4 linked regions of the Drosophila melanogaster genome follow. The protein of the gene in region 2 purifies or fractionates together with the protein of the main gene of each other region. This does not show direct contact. Each region holds a gene or a part of one and is shown on either strand. Other genes may lie near its edges. The genes, in order: JIL-1, msl-3, upSET and Clamp.

Evidence for each region.
Region 1: the proteins of msl-3 (region 2) and JIL-1 purify together in Drosophila melanogaster (affinity purification with western blotting; 4 studies listed by BioGRID, with this or other methods). This does not show direct contact.
Region 3: the proteins of msl-3 (region 2) and upSET purify together in Drosophila melanogaster (affinity purification with mass spectrometry, with the first as the bait; 2 studies listed by BioGRID). This does not show direct contact.
Region 4: the proteins of msl-3 (region 2) and Clamp purify together in Drosophila melanogaster (affinity purification with mass spectrometry, with the first as the bait; 2 studies listed by BioGRID). This does not show direct contact.

The regions. Positions count from the first base shown.
Region 1 is NT_037436.4:11,090,173-11,094,736, forward strand, and holds the start of JIL-1 (JIL-1 kinase), read right to left. Parts: upstream 3,022-4,564; 5' UTR 2,100-3,021; intron 1,685-2,099; exon of another isoform or gene 1,601-1,684; 5' UTR 1,468-1,600; coding exon 726-1,467; intron 1-725. Other genes in the region: Iyd (iodotyrosine deiodinase), read right to left, coding at 3,261-3,967, 4,023-4,179; CG46439 (uncharacterized protein), read right to left, coding at 4,321-4,564. UniProt on the Drosophila melanogaster protein: Phosphorylates 'Ser-10' of histone H3. May regulate gene expression by establishing or maintaining the structure of more open chromatin regions. Also required for normal polytene chromosome structure, for oogenesis and for viability throughout development.
Region 2 is NT_037436.4:7,122,661-7,127,182, reverse strand, and holds msl-3 (male-specific lethal 3), read left to right. Parts: upstream 1-1,649; 5' UTR 1,650-1,760; coding exon 1,761-1,862; intron 1,863-1,979; coding exon 1,980-2,158; intron 2,159-2,224; coding exon 2,225-2,782; intron 2,783-2,840; coding exon 2,841-3,337; intron 3,338-3,392; coding exon 3,393-3,477; intron 3,478-3,532; coding exon 3,533-3,650; 3' UTR 3,651-3,970; downstream 3,971-4,522. Other genes in the region: BBS1 (Bardet-Biedl syndrome 1), read right to left, coding at 1-914, 978-1,257; form3 (formin 3), read right to left, coding at 4,226-4,522. UniProt on the Drosophila melanogaster protein: Component of the male-specific lethal (MSL) histone acetyltransferase complex, a multiprotein complex essential for elevating transcription of the single X chromosome in the male (X chromosome dosage compensation).
Region 3 is NT_037436.4:14,000,130-14,005,163, reverse strand, and holds the start of upSET (upSET), read right to left. Parts: upstream 3,038-5,034; 5' UTR 2,863-3,037; exon of another isoform or gene 2,785-2,862; intron 1,972-2,784; 5' UTR 1,749-1,971; intron 1-1,748. Other genes in the region: Nprl3 (nitrogen permease regulator-like 3), read left to right, coding at 3,538-3,671, 3,731-5,034.
Region 4 is NT_033779.5:22,165,220-22,171,138, reverse strand, and holds Clamp (Chromatin-linked adaptor for MSL proteins), read left to right. Parts: upstream 1-1,995; 5' UTR 1,996-2,251; intron 2,252-2,495; 5' UTR 2,496-2,603; coding exon 2,604-2,759; intron 2,760-2,818; coding exon 2,819-3,019; intron 3,020-3,072; coding exon 3,073-3,502; intron 3,503-3,562; coding exon 3,563-3,836; intron 3,837-3,885; coding exon 3,886-4,089; intron 4,090-4,151; coding exon 4,152-4,587; 3' UTR 4,588-5,419; downstream 5,420-5,919. UniProt on the Drosophila melanogaster protein: Transcription factor involved in X-chromosome dosage compensation in males, the process by which transcription of the single X chromosome in the male is elevated. Binds to the DNA sequence (GA)n.

The sequences.
Region 1 (4,564 bases), 4.0 Mb from region 2:
ATTTATTTTATTCGATTTATAAACAGCTGTTGTGAAAACCTCTTGACAAAAACGTTTACTTCAAAAAGGTGTTACTTTCCACACCAAAATCCAGACCAATGTCCTCAGTAAATAATATTTATTTAAAAATGCAACCGAAAAGTGTCAAATTTAACAAATAACAAGCAGCAACAATAGGTTTTCGACCCACGGTTATCAAATTAGACATTTGGGTGGTGGATATTCTGTCTGCTTTGTGTATATGTATGTAGAGTGTGGTGAGAGGTGAGTACGGCGAGGTTGGGCGATTTCAGGGGAGGTCAGTAGTTTTGGATTTGGCCCAAAGAGCGAACAAAGCCGGGTTGAGTTTTCTGGGTAATCGTGTCAAGGTTAAATGCATGTGCTCCACTTTAACAAAGAACGATAGAGACGGCACTTCATCTGGCATTGACCAGCCACCCTCTGCCGACATTTCAATAAAACCTTGAGACATCCACCCGGTTAAAGTTATCAATTATTCCACCACACTACCATGTTTGATAAGCTCTGTGGCAGCTGCCTTAAAATGGCATGAAATATTCACAGGGAAGAAGTTGCGGTTTAATTTGATATGGACGGAATTATTAAACTATCATATTTAACATAAGTACATCCTGACCTGCAACTTGTAACAAATTTTCTTATCTAGCTTGTGCTTGCAGTTGGCCCGGTCTTCTTTATCACTATCATTGAGTGGAATGACTCACCGTAGTATTTCAGATCGGTGACCGCCTCCAGGTCCCGTTGATGGGCCTCATTGTCCAGATCAAGGGGTGTACTATTGCTGGTGGGCATGGCGTAGGAGGGCGTGGTCGACGAGGAGGCCTTCGAGGCTGCTGCTGCCGCTGCTGCAGCCGCCGCCGCCGCCGCTGCAGCTGCATTGTTGGACTTGGCCTTGGACAAGCTGGAGCTGGATTCATCGATCTCTATCCCGTTCGGCTCATCCTCCTCCATGTCCTGGTCGTAGTACTCCCGCTCGGGATCGCGTCCGTCCTCGCTCTCCGCATCCGATATGCAAACAATATCCGCCACATTTGTGGTGGGCGGGGATGGAGGTGTGGGCGGTGATATGGTCTCGCGGTAAGTGTAATCCCTTGCAGATGCTGAAGTGGTCTTGCTGCTGCTATTGGTGTACTGACCGTTGGTGGCACTGATGCTGTTGTTGTTATTGTTATTATTATTGTAGTTCAAGGTCTTTCCAGAACCAGAGCCGGATCCCTCCGTATTCAGTTTGGACTTTTTCCCATTGGTCATCGTTTCGGAATTGCTATTCTTTCGCGTTTTGCCATTGCCATTGGCTACCAGCTGGCCATTTAGATGATTCCGCACCATTTGATCTGGCTCCTCGTAGGCTAGTGACTCCGATTCACGGGGATGTTGATGATTCTTGAGGCGCGACGTACTTGTACCGCTTAAGATCTCGTAGTTTTGCTTTTGCAAGCGACTCATGGCTAGATTCTTCCGTAAAAGATCCTATGCCTTTAATAATGCTCTACGTGCTCCTCACGTAATCGATGGATATTCCAGGAATTAACAAATAAAAATAAAAAGGTCCAGGGACTGATCGTGGCGCATCGTTGAGCTGGAAAAACAGAAATCAAAGTAAAGACATTTTTTCGAAAATCGCTAACAATTTGTAGACAATCATTAAACTTTTTGACACATTCTTATATGAGTACTGACATAAAGTTGTCATTTTGGCTAGCTAGACTGTTTTATTGTTGTAGTATTTTTAATTAGAAACTGAATTAGTTTTTTCTATTCATGGATGTTCAACAATGCATAGACAACATGTACGATATAAATGTTCCAGTTCACACATTTTAAATACTAAATAAATAATAACTGAATTGTTGAAATTTATTCCGCAAGATGTTTTGAACATAGCTGTTTCTTATTGTGTTCTATTTAGGCAATCTTCACCGTACCTTCCCAATGCCCATTGCCCATTTCTATCCCATTTCTTCATCCACAATATGGTACAGTTTCAACGCAGGCGGGAGTAATTTTCCCGCTGTTAGCGGACAATTGGATGGGGAAACTCATTTCTGAATAGAACACTATTTGGGAGTTCGACTCACCTCGCGAAAGATTATAAGCGCAATATTATAATGCAGACGAAGAAATCCGAATCGGAGTGTGTGTGTGTGTGAGTGGGTGGATCTGGATGGGGAGGGGGAAGAGTGTTGGATTATGCGTGGGGCGGTAGCGATGTGCAACACTGAACGTTCCAATGATAATGTGCACCGATTTATGCAGCACTGGCGTTGGCTTAAATATTATTCAACCAATTCGGTTGCGGTTTCTTTTCATTCTTCTTTTTTGCTTGTTATATTATGCCGTGATTATCACAATCTTTATCAGTCGCGCATTTTTCACTTCCACAGTTAGTTTTTTATTTTTTTTTTTCGATTTCTTATTCTTTACCGTTCTCTTTGCCCACAACTACGTACACATATGCACACTCACACGCTGGCACTTTCTGTATCGGCTGCGTTTTTAAAGCGTTTTTGTTTTCGTCCGCTGATTCCGCTCCGGCGACTGTTGCTCTCGATTTTCAATGGATTTTCCAATTTCCCTGCGTACGCTTGTACTTGTTTTTCAATAGACAATACAGTAACGTTTTGATATTGAGATTGAATGTTTTGTATAATTTGTTTTGTGTTACACGAGAAGGTTTTTACCGCCGCTTTCTACTCGTTTACGCACACACACATTGAAACGCAGGACGCTCTCCGCCATCTGCTTTGCTCTCATTCGTGAACACTTATTAGGTACGGACCACCTTGATGGGAATCGCGTCGATTTCCGTTACACTCGATCAAATCGGGTTTATATCTGTATTATAGTACAATATAATACAATTAAAATCGAGAGAGCCCTAAAACGATTAATGCCGGATAATTGGCTATTTGTAATTTCAACACACAGCACACGAACCGCACGTAGAAATTTTCCCTTTGCTTTTGTGTCACTTACCGTAGCTATCGTTATCGATAGTGTTGACAAGAGGCCAAAAAGCGTGGTGCTGGAAAGCAGCCGTATATCGGTTGGCAGGGATGGTGGAGACTATCGTTTCAAATATTTAAGAATATTATATTTTGATTAACAATTATAATGAAGAATAAATTTAAGGAAAATGTGAAAATTTCGTTTATCAATAGAAAAAATATAAGAATTACCATAAATTTTAGTTTGGTTTTATTGAACTATTTCGTAAGCTGCACGGACGTAAATAAACCTTAAAAAGTAACCATAATATTTGACAAATTCTTTCTCGCCAAGTCGGGAACTGTGCATCCATCTTTCGGATAACCAACGGGCAGTAGGATGAGTAATTTTTCATTGACGGGTCGCCCGAGCAGGTTTCTCAAGGCTGGACCGCAGTTCAAAGGAGTGGTGACCAGCGATGCGAGTCCTGCCGCTTGAAGGGCACACAAAAGGATACCGGCCGCAATCGAAGTGGATATCTCGTTGTAGTAATGCCTCCTCATTCGCTTTCCATTCTCCGACAATCCATAGGTCTGCTTGAAGATCAGTATAAGGTACGGCGCCTCGGTGAGATACTCCTTGACATGATTGGTTTGCAGGGGTCGCAGATCGGTGACCCACTGCGGATGCATCCTCTGGCTGTAGTTGACCAGCTCCTCCTGTTCCACAATTTCCCGAATGGATCGCTTGAGTTCCGGCTCCTGTACGACGCAGTACGTCCAGGGTTCTGTGTGTGCGCCACTGGGAGCTGTTCCCGCCGCCCGAATGCAGTCCTCTATCACGCTGAGATCCGGTTTGGGATGGCTATTAAAGGAGCGAATGCTACGGCGTCCACGCATGAGTTCATATAAGCGTTTGGCTCCATTAGGGTTGAGATTCTGGCCGGGAACGAAGGGCACATGGGGCTTATCCTCCAGAGCCGGTTGCAGTTCATCGCCAAGATCGGCAAAGTGTTCAACTGGAAAATAGAATAGAATAGCTTTATGTTCACCGTGGATAATCTTAAAACTTACCCTCCTCCTCGACTTGTTCATCTAAATTATATGTTTTTAATACGCGATTCCCTTTAAAAAACAATCTTTTTACGATCCATATCAGCGCCAGAGTGATAAATAAACTTGGCCAATGCTTGAGTAGCTTGGAGCTGCTGATCAGTTCGTCCACATCCATGGTGCTTCAAGATGTAACTGCTTTTGCGACGGAGAGAAAGTGGCTTTGCTTTTGCGCTCGGATTGGCTTATCACTTGGTTAAGTGGGTCACGGCTATTGCTGATAGCGATGGATGCTGGTGGATGGGTTTTGGTTTCCACTTCAGTTGTTGTTCCGGCAGCAGTAGGTGCAATGGCTGCCCTTGTGATGCTCGCACATCCTCTGTTGTCCCTTTTCGTGGGCACTCCTATCCGACATGCATTTTGGATTCTTAAGCATCTGATTGGGCTCACCCGGTTTTCGTTTTTGCGGCGGAATCGGTCGGCGTGTATTGTTGAGTGGAATGGCCTTCTGGTGAACCAATTGGCGCTTGTGCACCTCTCTCAGAATCTCGATGATCCGCCAC
Region 2 (4,522 bases):
TCTCAGGATCTTAACCACGATACCACCAGATTGAGTAACGAGCGTGAGGACGTGATCCTCCATGCCCATTCGTCCGTACAGCATGGCATCCACCGTCTCCTCGAGAACAAACTCGTCGACGAGGTAGCGCTGCAAATAAAACTTGACCACTCCTCCTCTAAGGGCAATGGCCACCAGGGTGAGTCCCAGATGGGTCAAGGGCAGCGGTAGGAGGCAAACGGGTAGATCGGACATGGGCACCTGGTATAACAGCTTGCCCCGCTTTGAGTAGCACAGATAGCGATTGTCCATGGTGGAGGCGATTATCGTCTGATCGATGGGCAGCAGTAGGAGGCCGGTTAGGGGGATGCCGAGCTTGAAGATCTCCTGTCCCTCCGATTGGCTTTTCCGCAGGAGGTAGACACCGCCATTTCGCGTGGCCACCACGATGCAGAAATCCGTCTCAAAGGTTCCCTGCACGGAGATCAGGCTCGGCACGGCCGTCTCATCATCGCAGGCCTTGCCCTGGTAAACCAAATTGAAGCCCTGCGGCTCCAGGATCATGATGTGCCCGGTATCGGTGGCCAGGACCAAGTGGGACGGGGGATTGGCATCGCTGGAGATGCGCTTTATGCAGCACATGGCCACAATGTTGCCAACCCGACCCACTGGGGAGTCCTTGTGCGTGGCAATGAAGTGCTCCCGCTCCTGCTCGCCCATTTGCAGAAGTCGCTGCGATTTCCGCGACAGCTTGGAGTGGTCTATGGTTTTTAGGGAGTCAAGCAGGGCGGGATGGGCACTTGGCTTCACAACCGGCAGTTTTCGCCATACCTCCAGCTCCAGATCCTCGGAGTCCTGTGCGGGAATCGTGTACTTGAAGTATGGCTTTAGGTGACGATAGAAGAGCACTGACTCAGCGATGGCCACGGCAATTACTGGAAAATTGTATTCATTATGGAATCTAATTTAAAAATATTAAAATGCAACGTTATTTCTACCCGGCGTCTTGGGCTCCGTTTCGTCGATGTAGAGACTTTCAATGGCCGCTGGAATCCCCGGCAGTGGCTGCTCGTGCTTGAGTTTAAGACCACGGAAAACCTTCAGCGTGGCAGTGGGCTCCTCGGCGGCATTGTCCAGTGAAATGTCCGCCGCCAGCAGCCGGACATATCCGTCGCACTGCACGTCGCTCAGGGCCATGCAACTGGTGAGGGTGGTGAGATGCGGTGGAGGAGCCTCCTCCGCCGTGTCCACGTGAAGCCAGTTGGGAGCACCGGCCATGGCAGGATCTTGGTGAAAAATTTGCAGCACAGTGTGAAAACGAACAGGTGATTCAGGACATGCTTTTGTTTTGGTTTTTCTTGTCCTTAGCAACCGGGATGACAGCACATTTTTTGTTACTTATTTGGGTTTTTTCTTAAAAACACAAAATGATCGTCAGCATTATTCTTAAATGCTAACAGGGTAAAGCTACGTATAACTAAAAAATCATTTGGCAAAAGGTAAAACTGTGATCAAATTACTGATGATAGAAAATTTTATTTAAATTGGCCGCCAAAAATGCATTTTGTCTGGTCACACTTAAGGCCGGCCTGCTAAAGACGTGCAAGCATCGACAGTATGTGTTATCGATAAGTGCGAGGGAATATTCGATACCCACGTCAATTGCTTATCGCAAAAAACATTCGTTATAAATATCATCTCAGCGACGCCAGCAGTTGAATTCAATATTTAACATTTTGTATACATAAGTGACTGACTACGGCCCTATTTAACTGCAAGTAATGACGGAGCTAAGGGACGAGACACCGCTCTTTCACAAGGGCGAGATAGTCCTTTGCTACGAGCCGGATAAATCGAAGGCCCGTGTTCTTTACACCAGCAAGGTAAATACACATGCACACACACACACACGCGCGCGCATTGAAATGTCAAGCAAACGTCGTAGGCGAAGTTTTCACAAATGATTTTCCGTTTCCCGCAATTTTCCGTACATGCCGCAGGTGCTAAACGTCTTTGAGCGCCGGAACGAGCATGGCCTGAGGTTCTACGAGTACAAGATTCACTTCCAGGGCTGGCGTCCATCCTACGATCGCTGTGTGCGCGCCACCGTTCTATTGAAAGACACCGAGGAGAATCGCCAGTTGCAAAGGGAGCTGGCCGAAGCTGCCAAGCTGCAAATGTAAGATAACCCCCTAGACATGCGTGGAATACCTCTCTAACGAGTTCCCCCTTCTTTTTCGCACAGTCGTGGTGACTACTCCTACAAGGGCACACCCGATAAGCCATCGGCCAAGAAGAAACGCGGCGGAAAAGCGGCCCACGTTGAGGAGCCAATAGTGGTTCCAATGGACACGGGACATCTTGAGGCGGAGCACGAAATGGCGCCCACTCCACGAGCAGCGGGCAACCGGACGCGGGACAACAGCGGTGGCAAGCGAAAGGAAAAACCCCCGTCCGGAGATGGCCGATTAAAGGGAAACCGGGGCAGACAAACAGAGACCTTTTATAACAATGCCATAAATGATGTATCGGTCTATAACCATGTGCCACAGGAGGATCGCATTATGATGCGAGTCAGCGAGCGATTGCGAGAGCTTATAGAGTACGATCGGAATATGATCAAGGTACTAGGCAAACAGCACGCACTGCCCGCCCGCGTGCCCATCGTGACCATCATGGAAAACTTCGTCAAGCAGCAGGCCGTGGAGCTAGCCATTAGCATTAAACAGGACAGCTCGAGGGCCAGGAACACGCAGAGTCGCAATGCCAGAATGGAGCGGGAATACGATCGCGTTATGTCCACGTTGGTTACCACTCAATATCAGACTTAACAACCCACTTATACTCTTACTTATTAACAGTGTCTGCATGCTGAAGGAGGTGGTAGACGGATTGCGTATCTACTTTGAGTTCCACGTGGATGACCACTTGCTGTATACGGAGGAGAAGGAGTATGTCCACAACTACCTCACAGACGACAACATGCGCAACTGCAGCCTAATATTGAACAAGTCGTACGAGTATATCAATCCCAGCGGTGACACGGAACTGATCGGTCTGGACGGCACGCCAGTGGTAGAAGGGTCGGGCGACACCAATGGACAGATCGGAGTTATTAATATCGGCGGTCCGGAGTACGAGAAGCAGTTGCAAAAATGCCTGCTCTACATTGTTACCGCCAGCGGGAAAAACACTGCGCAGGCCTATGAGAGGACTTCCCCATATACGGCTGCCTACAAACTGCCCGTGGAGATGCGTGGATTTCTGAACGAAACATTCAAGTGGCGGCTTTTGTCAGCGGAATCGCCGCCAGAAAAGTCCATGGTCTTTGGCGCTCCCCACCTGGTTAGGCTAATGAGTATGTACAATCTTTCTTGCATTCTATAACACACATTAATTCATGGTACTTGCAGTTAAAATGCCCATGTTCTTAAACGCATCGCCGATCAGCAACAAGAAGCTAGAAGATCTACTTCCCCACCTCGACGCCTTCATCAAGTAAGTCTAAGACCCCTCCCTAGTCCATCACGAAGCTAATCTGTTGGTTTTTCAGCTACTTGGAGAACCACAGGGAGTGGTTCGACAGGGAAAACTTTGTTAACTCCACTGCCCTGCCCCAGGAAGATCTGCAGCGGGAGCTGTTGGACTCCCTGGATGGGATTGCTGCTTAGCTTTAGTTGATCGTAGTTATCTAGTTTATTTATTATTACGATTAAAGCTTATGCTCTTTTATTTAAAGATTTGTAATTGTCGTTTTGGTTTCTTCAACTACACACTTTGTAAACAACGCACTTCTATAAAAAAGTTTCCTAATGTGATCGTATAATCGAATAATGCCTATAACTATATATGTTAAATATTGAAAATACGATTTTAACATTTTTTTTTGTTTTTTTTTTTTTTTTTGCTTAACCTAAGTTTTAGTTGAGTAGTACATGCTAGTATTTTTGTCATGCCTTGTTTTTTGTGCTCAAATATATTTAAGAGTTGGAAAGTTGTTGTCTTTTGTATTAAGGATTTGCGGACCTTGAGTTGGAATGTGCAGGGAATTCTTAAGATTTGTATAATTTCTCAAAATATTGCAACTGTAACAACTATGTGTGTGCTGATTTGTGTTTCAGATCCTGCTTAGAAATTCGAAATTGTCGCTTGGACGGCTTGGAGTTGGATGCATTCGCGTTTGTAACATGTGTAAACTTGGGACGTTAACTTGGACGATGACTGAACTGGACTGGACTGCCGGCCCTCACTTCTGTCGCTTGGTGGCACTGCTGGCCGTGGGTCGCATGAAGCTGCTCACGGATCGACTGCTGCTAGTGCTCCTCTGCTGCGGACTGGGGTTCGCACTCATCCTGGCCTGCTGCTGCTGGTTCAGGGCATTTTTCACCAGCACCACGCTGCGAGCGGCGCTCATTCGGGACTGTGACTGGGGTTGGGACTGGGACTGGTTTTCCTTAAAACTGGTGCTACCATGGATACTCGATTTCGGAGCCGTGTTGGACATCTTGCTGCGCACCAAGATCACACTGGGTCCCACACTCGA
Region 3 (5,034 bases), 6.9 Mb from region 2:
CCACGGTGCTTTCGTACAGGGGCGGTTCCAAGGGGGTTCATTTGGGATATACATATGCGCCAAAATCTAATTCATTATATCAACAAAATATTATCGAAAGAATTAAGTTTTGTTTGCTGTTTTCTTTAAATTCCGAGAGCTTCCCCGCAAGCAGGATTTTTAATCCGCCACTGCTTTCGTGTCGTTTTTGTTGGGGATTTCTTTTTGTTGCTATGGCTTTTGTTGCATCGCTAGATGAAGTAGAACAAATACAAAGCTTATCGAGGCTCGCAGACGCACACATCTAAACGAGTGAGTCGAAAAGAGAAAGACTCCTATTGTGATCTACGGAATAAAAATGAACCTACAATTAAAAATAGTAATGCTGCTCATATTAGCTTGTTGACCAATGGACTACGTGACTGCACAATATCAGGGGCATTGCTTTGGCTGTACTTTCATTGAAACAGTCGCCAAGCGTAAAATGGGTTTTAGTTTTTGCATACCAGCTACAAAGTGTCAACTTTAATTGCGTCTTATTTTAATTCACTTGCTCGCTAGTTCTGGTCCGTCTAATTCGGTCAATTACTAATCAAGAATTGAGACTGCATGGGATTTTATTATGGATATTACACCATTAAAAAAATCTGTGGGGTTGGGAGGTGGTTTTAGGGGGTTGTGGCGGTTTGGTTTCGTTCCGCGACAACCTTTGAAATTATCGAATGGCTTAGCTTTCGCGAAATAATATTTTGACGATGGTCTTGTCTGCGCTGCGCAGAAAATAACGAAAGCCGAGCGCAGGCAAAAAGTTGTCTATCAACTTTTGCTTTCATTTTGTGGCGAAAATTCGCGCGTACAAAGCACAAGGCATAAATAACAATTGCAAAAATCACGTATGCGCAAAGAGCAGAACAGGAACATTCGAGCAATGCCTGTAAGCGAGAGCGAGACCACCATAGCTCTCCCCACACACACACTAACACTTAGCTATGTTAACTGCGGCCAACTTCACGGCGTACAGGCGTGTAAACGCTGGAGCACGCAATAAAAAGTTTGACGAAAACAGGGCGAAAGAAAATAAAATAAAAACTATATAGCTCTGTGCTAACATTCTGGATAATGGGAACAACATGGCGTCGTCGATATCGTTCAACTAATTCTCATCAACTTTAATTTCACTTTGCGGTCGATTTGTTGTTAAGTTTTTCCGACTAGCTGATGCGCATGTCAAAATTTTGGTAGAGACAACAAAAACACTGCACGGCATACACATTGCAATCCAAATGCGGAGGGGTGTGCCAAATCGAAATATGATTTTAATACTGATTTAGATAATCTCCTTAGAAACTCGAGCAAAACAAACTAAAAACAACTTGAAATTTAACAAAACAATTGCTTCGGGTTGGCAACTCTGTGCGAGGGGCATAATACGCACATCTACCTTCACGTTGCACAAAACGGAATCGAAAGCAAAACAAATGAACCCGCAAAGCTGTGCGAGCGAGCACGCTATACTGACGGTTAGTTGAAAAAAGAATATGCAATCAAATATGGCGACACACAGTATGCAAAAAAAAAAACCATACAAAATCGACGCATCAACAAATGAAATATTTATTTAACTGGCTCGACTCAAAATAAAATCTGAATTTCATATATATGTGATCCAATAGATATGTATAACCCATTCGACTGTATATTTTTCGATTCAAAATATTTCCGATTTGGGCGCGCACTCACATACAAACACACACACTAGTTTTACTCACCGTTTACTCTGTTATTTTGAATTTTCACTTCATTTTGCACAACTTAATTTAATTTAACGACAAGCTACGTGGTTTATTTTTTATTTCGAAACTTTATATTTCAATTTTATAAATACAAATTAAATTTGTATACACTTTAACACTGGTTCTTTTTTGTTCCGTTGCACATTGTTGATTTGCAGCATTTAAGTGATGGCGCGACGTTGTTTCGAACGTTTACTACCTGCACAAATTAAAATGTTTCTACTTTGATTAATCAATTTTATTATTATTAATACCGTATGGCACAAGAAGCAGAAGACAAAACGCGCAGGAAAACACATAAACTGGGATTGCTTAAGACGTGTGTAAGAGCGAGACGACCAGTCGGTTTGAGCAGACCATATAGCTAGTGTGACCGTTCTAGCCTATGGACAAGACATGCCAACTGACTATTATCGCCTATTTTATTTTGTTCGCCTGCCCTGCTTCTTCTTCTTGGTTTTTGTGTTGCGCTGTTTCCCTGTTTAGCCTATTACTACTGCGCCTGGCCATTCCGAAATGCTGTACGTACATATTTCGATTTCGCCTTTCCGCCTATTCGTTGATACCCACACAAACGTATATCTGTGCATGCCTTTCTACGTAGGTATGTGTAAAATCTATACACACGGATGTTGGCGCACATATACACAAAAAGTAAAATAGTTATGTTATTAACTATTTAACCACAAGCTATTTACATTTTAGGCACTTATTAATCCTATTTTCCAAAATACAAGGAATAGATACAGAAACGAAGACATAGTAGAAAAACAAACCTACAAGTAAATGACAATTAGTTGAAATTAACTTATTGGCCACCATACTGCCGAAGAGTGCGAAACTAATTCAGAAGCGAACCACTCAGCCAAGTAAACTATATTTTTTTGTAGAATTAGTTATACCTCTCCTACACTCACACAAATATTATATATATGTATATATAGACCGCGGCTAGTACACGTTTAGCGTCGTCTCGCTCCCACCTACGATCCGCACGTATTTTGCCTCTCACAATGTGTGTGTTTTCCTCTTTTCCAACACGCTAATAAGAAATCGTCATTTTTAAAAGTGCTTTTACAGCCAAACTAACATGTTTCACAGGGGAATTTCATAGTTCTGCGATTGCCGCGTTCGCATACTACGCTCCCAGTTATTTTCACAAATTTTTTGTTGACGTTTCGAGCACAATTTCCACACGTTTTGCTCACAACTTTCCGCTTCTAAAAAATTAGAGACTGACCAACCGAAGACGGTCACACTACAGCGGAGCGATAGATCGTTATCGCTCGACCAGGGATCCTATACTATTAGCCTTGCCGATATATATTTATTTATATAGTAAGACCGTTTTTCGTTTAGTATTTTTTAGTTTTTGAATATATTATCTAAGGTATCTATGGTAAATTTAAACGATTTAAAAAAATTCCATTGCGTTGCATTTATATTATTGTTTCGCCTGCAAAATGAAAACTGACATGACTACTATTTTAAATAAGTTTTTGGTATTTTATGCAAACTAAAAGAGAGCCACACTGCTGTAAATATATTTTATATTTTACATTTATTTACTTTGCTTCCATTTCTCAATGAAGTCAAATTGAGGTACTAATAAATAAATAAAGAGTTGTTGAGGTAGTTTCTGTAGCAAACTACGATTTATAAAGTATTTTTGAAAACATAGCCAACTATTTGTTGACCCTGACCCCAGTTGATAATGCAAATGTTCATATTTTAATTTACATAAAAGGGGAAGTGTCTGTGTGCCATGGAAACTAATGTGAATCCCCTGGCCGTAATCCTGGTTTACTTCGATAGCAAGGGGGATCGGTTACTGTACAGGTATCCGTACCAGACTCTCGGCCAAACGGAGGTGGCCAACGACGAGCAGCGGAAGTCCAGGTACTACCTATTAATTCAAAGGGCACTCAGCTTGACTATACCGATTTATTCAATCACAGAAAGCGCAATCCCTATGCCGTGGCCAATACGGACGATCTGCTGCAGACACCCACCCACTTGGGTGCTGCCAAGAGCCAAGGACAACTGCAGGGATTCGCAGATGAGGTCCTGTCCGCTCTGTTTGCTGTTAAACCACAGCTATGCAACCAAAAGTTTGAACTCAAACTGAACGACGTACGCTTTGTCAGTCATCCCACTCTGATACCGCAAAAGGAGCAGAGAAGTGGTCCAATGGCCAAGCAACAGATGCTCATCAACATTGTTTTTGCGCTGCATGCACAGGCCAGCTACTCGATTGTTAAGTGCTACCACGAACTGAGCAAGCGCCTTGGACTGGCGCTGAAGTTCGAGGAGCAGCGCAGTGGCTATCTCACCGAGCAGACGGCTCAAATGGCTCGCACACACGACGAGCAGCAGCAACAGCCGCTGGAACGCACACTGGAGCTGATTGCAGAGCGCTGCAGCTTGGCACAGGCCTTGCGCTCCATCTTCCATGATCTATGCACCACTGGACTGCTGAGTACCTCGCTGAATCACAACCTAACGTTGTGCTTCTGTCTGCCCGCTAAGGCACACCAGCTCCATAAGAAGGGCAGCATGGTGGATCCAGAGACCATAGATCGGTGCCTTCGTGCACTGAAGCCCTATCATGGCATGTTGCTGCTGGTCGACTTTGCCGAATTGTTGGACTGCGTTCCACCGACTGGGGCACGCATGCTATGGCAGCTAGTCGACGTCTACGACCCACTGATCAGTCTGCAGAGCATGTCCTCCAATGCAGACTTGAGTATCGAGCATGTTTATAAGCTCGTCTCGCATTTGGTCTACTGGGCTAAGGCAACTATTATTTATCCACTCTGCGAGACAAATGTCTATGTGATCGCGCCGGATGCACCATTGCACACCAAGTCCCACCTGGTGGAGAAGTTCTCGGCCCGTTTTGCCGGTATGTCGCTGTTCGAGGTGATCTCCGATTTTTCATTGCCCACTTCAATTGGACACTTAACCACGCCACTGCAGCAGCCAGCGCGACAGGGTATCCTCGCACAAATGGTGATTTGGATGCTGCAGCACCATTTGCTCATGCAGTTGCACACGTACGTTCAGTTTATGCCCAGCGAGGATGAATTCGGAGATTCGGCCTCCTGCAGCAACCATCTAAGGGATGCCATTAGCGATGAAGAAGGAGACCAAGAACCAGATGCGGACGAGTTGCATGGCTCCATGCTTAGCATGTCCAGTCATCCGTTGCCAGTGCCAGCGGTATTGGTGGGCGGACATCGTCGTGAGGCGTCCGAGGACC
Region 4 (5,919 bases), on a different chromosome or scaffold from region 2:
ACAAAGGATTTTTACTCAATAACGGAACGATTTCCATGAATTTCATTACTCTTAACTCATTCTTAACATAACGGTTCAAAAACATAATTTCGGTTACATTCAAATACTGCGTTAGATCTACTCAATCTCCGACATACATATGTATATTAAGCCGATATAAAACACATGCGGTTTGAACACAGAATAAAAGCGGGAAAGATATATATCTTAATGTAAACACATAATTAATTTCTAATTTCTTTTACATCACAAGCAGCTAAACAGATATACATATATTTCATTTAAGTTCTATTACCACCAAATTATTTTTAAATAAGAGAGAACGCTTAAGCAAATTTGTTGGACATTGAGATACCGTTTACACAGCCAGAAGGAATGCAAAATATAAACAATGAAAACAAAAAGTTTTGGGTGTTGAATTGGTCGTGGCGAAATAGTTCAAGCATATCAATACAAATTATCAAGAAAAACAACTTAATTTTTTAAGATAAAGAACTTTTCAAAAGTATACGAACAGAAGGATTGGTAGCCGAAGACAAGAATATAAGCACGTTATAATGCCCGAAACGCTTCCTTCCGTTCCTTCTGACATAATTTTTTCCAAAACCATACACATAATCGTTCGAAATCACTACCATAAAACTTGTCTTTTCATTCCTCAAAAATAGCTAATAAATAAGCTTACTATCTCAAGACATTCCCTTAAATGCTGTTGTCATAAAAAACATTTGACCACGTTGGTTGCCTTGCCAACACTAATAAATTTTTGAATTTGGGCGCCGAGAGTATTTAAATCTTTTGGAAGCTGAAATTTTCCAACACCAAACAGGACTCGCAGAACTTTGTTCATCCAGGATCTTAAGCTCAAAACCAAAACGTATGCGAATTAAAATTGCTGCTATTTAATTATTTAAAAGAATAGTTTTTATTTTTTATTAATTAATATTTATTCGGCGACAGACTTCCTCACTTATACTATTACAAGACACTTTATTACTAGCTTATCTTTGATTTGAAGCTGTTCACGATCTCGTCCCGACTCAGACTGATCTTCTAAATCTTAATCCTAATCCACTCAACCTCGGCCAGAAGCTTTTCTTTAGGATTCTCTTAAGCTTTTTAATATGTTTAGGATAAAAGCTTTACACTGAAATTATTTCCCAGCATTGTGAAATTCAAATTTGCTGACTGACGCAGTTTGACTGAAGCGCAATAAGTTGACCATGGCTTGGTCTCCAAGTGGAAGTTGTGTTTACTTTAAGTTTGGTTATATATCGGGTGGCTAAGTGTTGGCGTCAAAAACAAGGGCAAAGGCAACGCTGCTGAGATTGGAGTTAGAAATTTGTTTAGCTTTTGGTAGAGTGCTATATTTATGGGTTGGATAACTTGCGTCACTACGTGGGGCATAAAAAATCTGTTGTCCCTTAACTCACTCCCCTACATCGAGTGATAAAGATAAATAGGAATTCCTAAAAGATTTAAGTATACAAAAATAAGTACGTTTTATATGGAATCTTTAAGAATTAGTTAAAAGTCGAGTGCCTGTAAAATTTCGTTATCTTATGGAATTTGTTATCAACCATGGCCCATGATCTTACCAAAGACACTAGAATATTCTAGTGTCTTTGCTCTTACAGTGTTACCTTAGCTTGTAGAATATTAAAAGTTAAGTCTCAATAAATTTAAAACGTGTTTTTAACGCAGCTCAGCACAAGATATTTCTTTTCGAAAGCTAGTAACAGCCAGATTCTACTGATCGTAGCGTTTGCCTTTTGAGTAAGAGACAACATGTAAGACAACATGTGATGTAATCCAAATTACGAAGTACAAAACGTATATAAAAATATTTATGTTTTCTGAGTTATCGAATTAGTGTAAAAGGGCTCTAAGAAATCCTACCAGTTCTTTGTGAATTTTGGTATATTTTCGAGGGAAATGATTATTTTCATGAGTCGTGAAACGGTCACACTTTTAAAAAGTAAAACTGCTGCTCGTCTGCTCTATCTCTGAGCGTTGTTCTGTCTCCATCTCTCTTTAGCAATCGTAAAAAATGATGGACTGAAAGTTAAAGTGCTGGAATTTGTTAGAAAAAGATAACACTATTTAAATATATATCTTGTATTATTCCAAACAATATATCGTTAAAATACGTTATCAATTCACGAATACAATTTTACACCACTCAAATCTTAACAATTTTATTGTGGAGCAGGCAGTGCGCAATTTATGGTGTGGTCCGGTTGCGTAAAAGGTAATTTTAATAATGAAAAAAATAACACATGTAGTGTAATATTGTATGATAAAAAAACAAATGTGCTAGACTCCAGTTTAGATACTAGAGTCTGTTAATGTAAAGAGCTGCTGCATTAAACGTTCGTCTGTGTATGTTTTGTGTCGCGTATGTACATATTTTTTGTCTCACCGTCGCCATTTTTAATCAGTCGTTTTCGCTGGGTTCCTATGGCACTATATTCATCTCTTTTTCTCTTTTATAGAATTAGCGTCGCGTGATGCAGTGTTGAAAAGCGCGACAGAGCTGCAGTAAATAAAAGGCCAACGTATGATAAAAGTTAATTTTTGAGCATACTCGAATTTTGGGGACCATGGAAGACCTTACCAAAAACATTATCTTCACAAATGCCATTAATGGGCAACCGGCCACAATTCAATACCAGACGGCGGATGGCACCATTCTTAAACAGCCCAAAATAGAGGGCCAAAAAACGGAGCAGCAGCCTACCTTCTATTACACGACAAATGTAAGTAGTTTACTTACTATATGTTATTGGTGCTGACTTTTCATATTGTCTTCACATAGGGCAATGGCGGTACCGTCAATCTCGCACAGCTGGCCACCACAGACGACAATAAGACGTGTTATATAGCCCAGCCCGTGGGCGGATACAATTACGCCCTGGTCAACGGAATGCCTCTCAATCAGGGTGCAGCTCTTGGCATCGCCACGGTAGACGCACAAGGCCGCATCCAGATTGTCAATCAAAATAAGCCAATTGCAGCTGTATGTAAAAGGAAGACTCGTTAAGCAAAGCCTAAAGATTTTCTTCTTTGCAGAACACCATATCCAACATAAGCTTTAAGTGTGACGTATGTTCAGATATGTTCCCTCATTTGGCACTTCTTAATGCTCATAAGCGGATGCATACAGACGGGGAACAGCAGCAACAACAGCAACATAACGCCCAAGCGGGCGGCGATTCTATTGCCGTGGTCAGCGCGCAGGGGCTTGTGCAGGCACAGAACATTATTGGAAATGGTCAGATGGGCCAGATACAGATTGTGTCTTCTGACACGCTGGAGCCGGTTCAGCAATCTGTAATGCAGCAGCAGCAACATGAGTCAAAGGCAAGCAAGTGCATAAATTGTGGAAGCTCTATGCTGCAGCAGTCCAAACGCAAAGGTCCAAAGCAGGTGCGCTGCGAGTCCTGCATGCAGGCTGAACAAACAGCGCAACAACAACAGCAGCTCTTCGTCGCCCAAGACGGTAGTTGTGAAAGATTACATTCTAAATGGACCATAACTAACTTCATCGCATCTTTTGCAGGTCAAATGGCGCATCCCGTGCAAATCATATCAACGACTCCTCAGGCCCAAGCACAACTTCAGCAAATTGTGGCTGCACAGACTGGCGGTACAACGCCAAAGCGAGAGGCGAGCAGTGGGTCTGGCCATCATCCTGTGAAAAAACGAAATTCCCAGCAGATGACCAAATGCCAGAAATGCAATGGCTCCGGCGTGGTGCTAGTGGGGCAGCACTCCCATGCTTCACACAGCGGGGTGGGCGGATCGGTAAAGCAATCAGTTACTGTTAAAACTGAGTGAGTATAACATGAAATTGCAACCTTATCCTACGCTAACAAAACCAAGGTGTTTGTCCTGCAGAAATCCGTCCAAACCCTTCAGTTGTAATATATGTGGTGGTCTGTTTTCACGTTACTCAAGTCTGTGGTCCCATAAAAAGCTGCACAGCGGTGAAAAAAACTACAAGTGCAGCATCTGTGGATTGGCCTTTGCTAAAGCCGTATATTTGAAAAACCACGCGCGCATTCATACAGGCGAGAAACCCTATAAGTAATACCAATCTTCTACTTGAAATTATACTCTTTATACTAATTACCGTTATCTTTACATAGATGCCAAACCTGCGGCATGCAGTTTTCACAGTCACCACACCTCAAGAACCATGAACGCACGCACAGTGGCGAGCGGCCCTATGTGTGCGGTGTTTGCGACAAAGGATTTGCGCGCCACGCTACTCTTTGGAATCATAGGCGCATTCACACGGGCGAAAAGCCATACAAGTGTGAAATTTGTGGATCGGCCTTTTCTCAGGCGGCGCACCTTAAGAACCACGCAAAGGTGCACTCCGGAGAAAAACCCTACAAGTGCGAGATTTGCTCTGCAGCATTCGCTGATCGTTTTGCACTCAAGCGTCACCGCGGCATACACCAAAAGTACGGCCAAACTGCTCCTCGCCAGACCAGCAGCGATGGGATGATAGTGCATAAGCAGGAGATTCCTGACATGGAGGATGAGGCCCAACAGGAAGTGATTATCGGTGGGTTATAGATAGTTTAAATGCAGAGGTGACAGGCAGCTTAATGAAGTCACAGACACTGGAGTCCACCCTGCTTAGCTTCAGTTTATCGAGCGTTACTATGATCATCTGCCTCCACCTATGCTAGCCCCAGAACCATCTCTAAGGGCGCATATATCACCACAATGATATTAAAGAATAGAAAACGATGTTCCATCGTTAACACTTCAGCTGCATATGTCCTTTCTCCACTTTCATGTGGGATCTTCAAAAATGGGCGAAACCCAAAAACGCTTTTTACGATAAGCATACAAATGAACCTAATTTATTTGATAGCTTGTATAATATACTTAAACATCTTTAAACATTAAACGCATATATGTATAGGCATCGTATTTATAAGTGTTATAGGCTATTCTCTTATACAAATTGTAGGTGTAAAATATGGATTTATTAGGTGACGATACGAGCAAATCCGATACGTATGAATATGCACAGGTAATAAACACACACATATAAGTTGAAAGTTGTAAGCTTAAATATATTTTAATTAAATCTATCTAATATAAGTATGTATTAAATAATGCATAAAATCAAATAAATATTTGAATAAAATACAATTTTTTACTAACCTACTCCATTTGCAAGTGCCTTAACGAAGAATAGAGGGATCCCAGAAATAGGCACATTTTCCACCGTTTTCGACGTCTTATGCGTTTTTTTTTTATTAATGTAAGCACCATTTCACTTTAAATATAATTTTTTTAGTGTTTTGCCACGTTCATCTTATTCTTACGTGAAGCTATAAGGTCAGTAAATTTTAATGTTGGCAATAATATAATTAATAAATACACAAAACTTTAAATATTCATAGACGTAAAAGAGTAAAATAAAGTTAAAATTTATCGAAAATTAGATGATGTGAATTACTGCTGTCTTTTCAAAAAAATTAGAGCTGTTGATTTGTAAAATGGACGCACTCTTTTAAACTTCTTATATTTATATTTTTGCGTATTATCTGTTAAAAATAAAATATTTTTACATATTTAAAGTAAAGTTGTGAAGTGGCAACGAATTTTTTACAATAATCAAAACCAAGTGTTTAAGAATTAGGATTCATGGCTTGTATAATAAAGCTTTAAATTACTAGAATTCGCCATCAGTTAAATCAAGATAAATACGTATACGTATACATTTGCGAACATGGACTTTGCTTAGGGTCCATTTTTGAATTTGCGGTCATTACAAACTTATATTCATATGTATATAGGATTATTCAAGAATGAATACATTTTAGTTACACGGGATTGTAGTTTTGTTTCTTTTAATGTCAACTGGTTTGCATGCACTATGCAATCATGATT